Oryctolagus cuniculus: one gene and its partner. The protein of the gene in region 1 purifies or fractionates together with the protein of each later gene. This does not show direct contact. Links are inferred from orthologs where the notes say so. Each region holds a gene or a part of one and is shown in the gene's direction. Other genes may lie near its edges. The genes, in order: NCBP1 and KPNA4.

What was found.
Region 2: the proteins of NCBP1 (region 1) and KPNA4 purify together in Homo sapiens (co-immunoprecipitation; 3 studies listed by BioGRID and IntAct, with this or other methods). This does not show direct contact. The link is inferred for Oryctolagus cuniculus from reciprocal best matches to the Homo sapiens genes NCBP1 and KPNA4.

Annotation. Positions count from the first base shown.
Region 1 is NC_091432.1:201,441,644-201,445,465, forward strand, and holds part of NCBP1 (nuclear cap-binding protein subunit 1), read left to right. Parts: intron 1-1,417; coding exon 1,418-1,574; intron 1,575-3,822. UniProt on the Homo sapiens protein: Component of the cap-binding complex (CBC), which binds cotranscriptionally to the 5'-cap of pre-mRNAs and is involved in various processes such as pre-mRNA splicing, translation regulation, nonsense-mediated mRNA decay, RNA-mediated gene silencing (RNAi) by microRNAs (miRNAs) and mRNA export.
Region 2 is NC_091435.1:120,225,617-120,229,438, forward strand, and holds part of KPNA4 (importin subunit alpha-3), read left to right. Parts: intron 1-2,820; coding exon 2,821-2,952; intron 2,953-3,822. UniProt on the Homo sapiens protein: Functions in nuclear protein import as an adapter protein for nuclear receptor KPNB1. Binds specifically and directly to substrates containing either a simple or bipartite NLS motif.

The DNA of each region.
Region 1 (3,822 bases):
CATTTTAACGTCACATTATTAAAAGTACAGTTAATTTGCTTTAGAATTTTCAAGAGGAATACAGTTAATATTCAGGAACACATATCTTTAAAAAACTAATAAAAATCATTTTGCTGTGGTTATCCAAAAAACTCCTTCTCTTTTAAAAGCACTTAGTAGCATGGAATAGTGTTTATACTTAAACTCTTGTCAGAGGCTATGTTTGTTTAAGGCTGTACCAGTATTGCTTGGCACTATTTTTTAATTTGAGGTTTGGGGAGGTTTATAGGGAGTATGATTTCTGTCCAAGTATTTTTGAAGACCTAAATTGTCCCTAATGCTAGATACCTTAGGAAAACCTTTAACTAGATTTATAAATATGTAAGGTTATAAACTTATAAGAATCCCTTCCCCGTTGAATTATCTCAGGAGTCGCTTTAGTGTTTGAACTTATTTCTAAAGGCTGCCTAAATTATGAAGCAACAGTTGCTTCTTCTAAAGGTTTATTATTGTAATCCTCTCTCCTACTTTTCAAATAATTTTAATGAAATCAACAATGAGTACCAAGTTAAGATTTCAACAGTTTAAGTGATAGGAAATTAGTTGAAATTGGTTTTATTCTGCATCTTTTATAAGTGGCTAGAATAGTGTTTCTCAAAGTGGAATGGGTCCCATGACATTTGGTTAGTTAAGTTTTAAAACTCAGTGCTGTGCCATGTGCCACTCCCCCACCCTCTTAATGATTTTGCATTAAAGAAACTTGTTGTACCCAGAATCTTGTATTTTACCATGGAAGTCATGTCTGGGGAGCTGCTATTTGATTCTACTCAACATACTTGAAGAAAAACTGGTCTAGCGTGAGCTGTGGTATTTATTTCAGTGGTGAAATAACTTCACAATTAAACCGTTTTCTAATTTTTCTTTAAAGATTTTATATATTTGAGAAATAGTTACAGAGAGGCAAAGAGAGAGAGAGAGGTCTTCCATCCGCTGGTCAACTCTCCAATTGGCCGACCCGAAGCCAACCAGGAGCTTCCTCCAGGTCTCCCATATGGGTGCAGGGGCCCAAGCACTTGGGCCAACTTCTACTGCCTTCCCAGGCCACAGTAGAGAGCTGGATCGGAAGCAGAGCAGCGGGGACATGAACCTGCGCCCATATGGGATGCCGATGCTGCAGACCGGAGCTTCAACCCTCTGCCACAGCGCCAGCCCCAGTCTTTCCTAACTTTTTAATTAACTAGAATTAAAGTGAAAAAATTGGGAATCCATGTCTGCAGCTCTTCTTATGGACACATAAGCTTTTTATGGAATAGTTTTACAAACATAATGGTGATCCTATTCCAAAAGTAATGAATGATGAAACATTTATATGAAATTCAGCAAATTAATATAATGCCATTGTTTTGGGGGTTTCCTGTTGTACTGGTTCTCAAATCAGTGCACGTCTGTTACCTGAGAAGTTGACAATTTATACAACGTTGGTTGGACTGCTGAATGCCAGGAATTACAACTTTGGTGGAGAATTTGTAGAAGCTATGATTCGTCAACTTAAAGAATCATTGAAAGCAAACAATTATAATGAAGCTGTGTATTTGGTAAGTTTTTATTTCTATAATTTTGAAGTTTATTTGAGAAACGGAGCTCCCATTGGCTGGTTCAGTTCACAAATGCCCATGATGGCTGGGGCGGGAGGCCCAAACCTGGAGCCAGGAACTCGGTCCAGGTTTCCCATGTGGGTGGCAGGAGCCCAGGCATTCTGATGTGGATGCTGGTATCCTGACCTGTGTCTTAGCTGCTGGAGCGAGCACCACCCTTAACTTTTTATTTCTGTATATCATGACTTAGTGTTGGTATGGAGGAAAAAGGTAAGCACTAACTAAATACTGTGTCTTTTCTCTTGAGAGTCAGTCTCCTATTGACCCTAACAACTGCTCTTTTAAAACCGTTCTCATTAAAGGCACCACAGAGCTCAATACCAAATCCAGGGTCTTTTTTCACTCGGAATCCTAGCTGGTTTCCCTGTATCACCTGCCACCTCCTTTTTTTTTTTTTTTTTTTTTTTTTTTTGTTAATAGGCAGAGTTAGTGAGAGAGACAGAGAAAGGTCTTCCTTCCATTGGTTTACCCCCCAGATGGCTGCTACAGCCGGCGTGCTGCACCAATCCGAAGCCAGGAACCAGGTGCTTCCTCCTGGTCTCCCATGCGGATGCAGGGGCCCAAGCACCTGGGCCATTCTCCACTGCCTTCCCGGGCCACAGCAACCAGGACAGAACCCGGCGCACCAACCGGGACTAGAACCCGCGGCGCCAGCTGCCACCTCCCTTCTATTCCTCATCTTTTACTGGGTCATCTTCCTTTAAACACTCTGCTAGCTTCATAAACCACCTTTGTTTTGATGCTGCCCCCAAATCTGAAAGTGTTTCTCCAGTTTCAAACTTTCTCATAAGTACCAGACCTGTATTTCAAATGTTCCCTGCAAAGCTCTAAGATAACCTTACCTGGAAATCCTTAAATTAATGTCAGTCACATTTCCTTTTTATCTCCTCAACTCACAGTGGCCACTGTCTACTTGGTGACCCACCCAGAAACCTGAGTGTTAACTTTTGTCTTCCTTTTGTCTTTTGAGTTGTTTGCAGCCTACAGTTCTGCCTCCTAAATTTCTCTCATATTTGTTCCTTCTCTATCTCAAGGGCTACCAGTGTACTTCACACCTTCCTCCTCGTGTTCATAAGATCTCTTTAATTTTTTCACATCTAAATTTTCTTTCAGTCTTTCTGCAGTGACACCAAAGTGTTCTTTGTGTTCAGCTCATGGTGGTTGGTGTCTAAAACCCCAATTCCTTCCCATTGTCCTCAGTGATCATAAATCCTGGGGAAAAGGTGATTGACTGGGTTGCAGAAAGTAAATATTAGAACTCATTTATTATAAATGGAATTAAGCCTTAATGTCTAAAACATAAATTGGTAGTGATCCAGTATATATTGTAAATATACCTGTGTTGGAGATAAGGGATCAGATTCTTTTTATGAAGTATACTGTCAGAGTCTGGACCCTCATCAGGCTATAAGACTGAGGTCCAGACTCTAGCTGGACCCTTAGTGGTTGCCCTGATCTGTTTCTTCGTACCTCCTACACTCTCCGCTGTGTCAAAATTACCTGCTCCCTAGTTTGCCCTCTCTGCTCACTGCTTGAGGGGTATGTACCTGTTAGGACCTAAGCTAGTTACTGCCTTTATGATGCTGACCCTACTCACTCTGTCACTGTTCTTATAGCACTTTGATTTGCCTCTCAGTAGAGGACTCATCCCTTTGTGTGAGAATGTGCCTGCCAGGATCTTACCTGTAACAGGAACTTTAGAAGTGCTTACCAGTGGCCACAAAGGGCACCCAATAAATTAAACAGATTTTCCATTATTATGGTTCAGGAAAATTATAGCCAAATGGGAAAGGACTTTGTAGGTGATGTCACTAAGATATTTACAGGCTGAGCTCTTAGTGTCGTGTAGCATGGGAACCTGTGAGCTCAGGTTTTCTGTTCTTCATGTGGTCTCTCTCACAGCTACTCAGCTCTGCCATTGTAGCACTAAAGCTACCATGGACAGTGTATAACTGAGCATGACTATCTTCCAGTAAAAATTAACTGGGTGCTGAAATTTGGGTTTCAAGTAATTTGTGTTAGAAAATACTCTTTCCCACCCCCACCCCCCCCAAGAATTTAAAACCTGAAAGCTTTGTTGGTCCACAGGCTGTACAAAAACAGAGTACGCTTGATGCTGCCCTTGGGCTACGGTTTTTCAAACCCTTGGTTTAGATCGTTTCTGTTGTTTATTTTGAACATTCAGATG
Region 2 (3,822 bases), on another chromosome or scaffold:
GCAGTGTTTGATGAGCTATTTCATTTCTTTACAGTTTTAGGATTATACTTTTTTTTTGCCAGAATCCCCTAAAAGTATGTAGAACAAATTAAAATCAGAATTTTGCTACATCAAGTAGTGATATAATGTACAAAATTTATTAAACATGCTCTTTGCTCTAAAGATGTTTTTTAAGCGCCAGATAGTCTGATTGAATCAGATAGATCTTAAATATTTATATAAGCATTTTTTGTTTTTGGTTCCTGAAAGCCACGTTCCTTGACTGAAGTATAAATTTCAACATTTTTCTTTTAAAATATTCATAAAAAAAGATTAATCTCAAAGTTATACTACCACTAAAAAACCAGACATCTTCATTTACTTTATTCAGAGATGCATTATGTTTCTTTACCTCAATCTAGGTGAGATTCTGATTACATTTATCTTTATTTTTTATGTGCCTTGAATTTCTCAAGCCAGTCTATATTGTTGTTTTTAGTTACATATTTAATTAATAATATTATTTACTAAATAGTGATGTTTATTAGAGTCATCTTGGGTAGACATTTAGCAGTGTGTTCTTAAGTCAAGCCATCAAAGAACTAAAGATAAAACTAGTTAACTGCTTCTACAAGCCATAACTAAAGCACCAACATTACATTTAGTTGTAATTGGTAAACTTACAGAATACAAACTTTGTCACAAAAGAATATATGAAATCTAGTTTGATTTAAATCGTGATTTTTTCCCCCAGAAACCTTTTATTTAAGGTATATAACTTCATGCATTTCATAAATACAACTTTAGGAACATAGATATTCTTCCCTTCGTACCTGCCCTTCCACCCTTCTTCCTACTCCCTCTCCTATTCCCATTCTTATTTTTTACTAAAATCTATTTTCATTTAACTTTATACACAGAAGATTAACTCTGTACTAAGTAAAATGTTCAACAAATAGTATTAAAAAAAAAACTGTTACTCAACAGTTTTTTGATTTCTCTTTGGATTTTTTTCTATGACCCACTGTTCATTCAGGAGCATGTTTTTCAATTTGCATGTGATCTAGAGATTCTTAAGTTCTTGATTTCCAACTTCATTCCATTGTGGTCAGAGAAGATGGCATAGTATGATTTTGAATTTGCTAAGACTTGCTTTATGGCTTATCATGTGGTCCATCCTAGAGAAAGTTCCGTGCACTGGTGAGAAGAATGTGTATTCTGCAACTGTAGGATGAAAAGTTCTGAAAATATCTGTTAGATCCACGTGGTCTATAGTTTTGATTAACTATTTCCTTGCTGATTTTCTGTCTGAATGATCTTTCCATTTTTAAAGTGGGGTATTGAAGTCCCCCATTACTATTGTATTGGAGTTTTTTTTTTTTCTCCCTTTAGATCCTTAACATTTCTTTTAAATAGCCAGGTGCCCTGTAATTAGATTTGTATACATTTATTGTCACATCTTCCTGTTGAGTTGAACCCTTAATCATTGCATAGTGCCCTCTTTGTCTCTTTTGACAGTTTTTGTGTTAAAAACTGTTTTGTCTGATACCAGGATGGCTATACGAGCTCTTTTTTGGTTTCTGTTAACGTAGAATATCGTCTATGCTTTCACTTTCAGCCTGCATTTATCTTTGTTGGTGAGATATGTTTCTTGTAGACAACAAGTAGATGAGTTTTATTTTTTAATCTATTCAGCCAGTCTGTATCTTTTATCTGGAGATTGAGGCCATTTACATTCAAGGTGCCTATTGGCCCTGATGTTTTCCATAAATATTCCTATTGCTTACTTTTTATTTCCTTTGTTCTCGTGCTGGGAGATTTTCTTTCATAGTGATGACTGTGTTTCTGTGTGTAGCACATCTTAAGCATCTCTTGTAAGGCTAGATGAGTGGTGACAAATTCTTTGAATTTCTGTTTGTTATAGAAGGTCTTTTATTTCACCTTCATTCCTAAATGAGAGCTTTGCCAGGGTACAGTATTCTGGGTTGACAGTTTTTTTTTCTCTTTAGACTTGGAATATATCTCACCATTCTCTCCTAGCCTGCAGGGTTTCTGATGAGAAGTCGGCTGTGAGTATAATTGGAGATCCTCTGAAAGTAATCTGGAGTTTCTCTCGTGTTCATTTTTTTACTGTGGAGAGTTTGAGTACAATGTGTCATGGTGAGGATCTTTTCTGGTCATATCTATTAGGAGTTCTATGTGCTTCTTGTACTTGGAGGCCCCTTTCTCCAAATTTGGGAAGTTTTTCTGTAATTATTTCACTAAAAAGGCCTTGTAATCCGTTCTCTTTCCTCACCTTCAGGAACTCCTGTGTCCTGTATGTTTTGTGGTTTGATAGTATTCCATGAATCTCCAACACTGTTTTTTAATTTTCTTATTTCTTCTTTTTTTTTTTTGGTCTAAAATCTCCAGAGATTTGTCTTCTAACTTGGATATTCTTTCTGCTGCCTTACCGAGTCTGTTGTTAAGGCTTTCCACCACATTTTTTATTTGATCTATTGAATTCATCATTTCCAATATTTCATTTTCATTTCTCTTTAAATTCTCAATTTCATGGGAAAATTTTTTTATTTGTGTCATGTATATATTACTTTAATTCGTGGATTTGCTTCTGATTACTTCTGAGTAATCCTATAATCTATAATTTAAATTCCATTTCCAGCATTTCTTCAGTCTCTTCATTTTCACATTGTATTTTTGAAGTGTTGGTGTGTTTCTTTGAAGGCGTCATGTGAGAGAAGAAAACAAGTGGTAGAACAATCTTAGATTAATTGTATGGTTAAGAATTACTAAAATGAGAAAATATTCAAATGCTCTTTGAATTCTCATTTTACTCATTAGATTTTGGTAGATACAGTGTGGGCCCTCTCTTACCTTACTGATGCTGGCAATGAACAGATACAGATGGTAATAGACTCTGGAATAGTTCCTCATTTGGTTCCTCTGCTCAGCCATCAGGAAGTTAAAGTTCAGGTAAGTTTGTTCGTGATAAAAAATTTTAAGTTTTTCTAATAATAATTGCTGTAAACATGACATTCAGAGCCAAACAATTTCAATAGTTTAAAGGATATTCTTAGCATGACAGCATGTCTGTGATGGTAAGAGTAAATTATTTTATTCCCATTTTAAAGGTGGAAAAAAATGAGGTAAGGATACTACAGCTTGAACCTACCTTTCCCCACCCTCTCTGAAAAATACATATTTAGGAAGAGACTCCTTTGTAGAATACAGATTTGTATTATAGGCAATTCAGTTTAGCAGCTTGAGTGCAATCAAACAGGTGTTGATACTTAGAATTCCTACTCCTTTTCTTATTTTTCTTCCTCTTCCACAGTCCAATTCCCCCCACCCCCCATTCCGCCCTGTCCCTTTTTACTGATCTGGAAAGTTTGGTTCGCTCTTAGCTTCACTGGCACTTATAAAGACTTTGTGCAAAAAGGTTTTGTGCAGATAAATGCTACTTAGCTCCCTAAATTGTTTTCACCATCTTAAACTTTTTTAAGCTTGTTTTTTTATTTTATTCAATTGTTCTTAAATCCTCTTACACAGTATTTATCTGAAAGAACCTATATGTAGTGTCAAAAGAGAGGATGAGAAGTTCACACAAATAGAAGTAATAACTGTCAAACTGCAATGGTAAAGGGATATGCAGCATGTTCTCTAATTTTCTGAGGTAAATAGAATGTTTTATGTGGCAATGACTTAGAGTCTGTAAAGTATAGTAATAGCATAAGAAAAACTTAACCTAAGTCATCACTTAGCCTTGGCTGGATAACGAGAACAACTGTAAAACTTTAAAAAGAAAGTTTTTTTTTTTTAATTGTTCAACTCCTAGAGATTGTT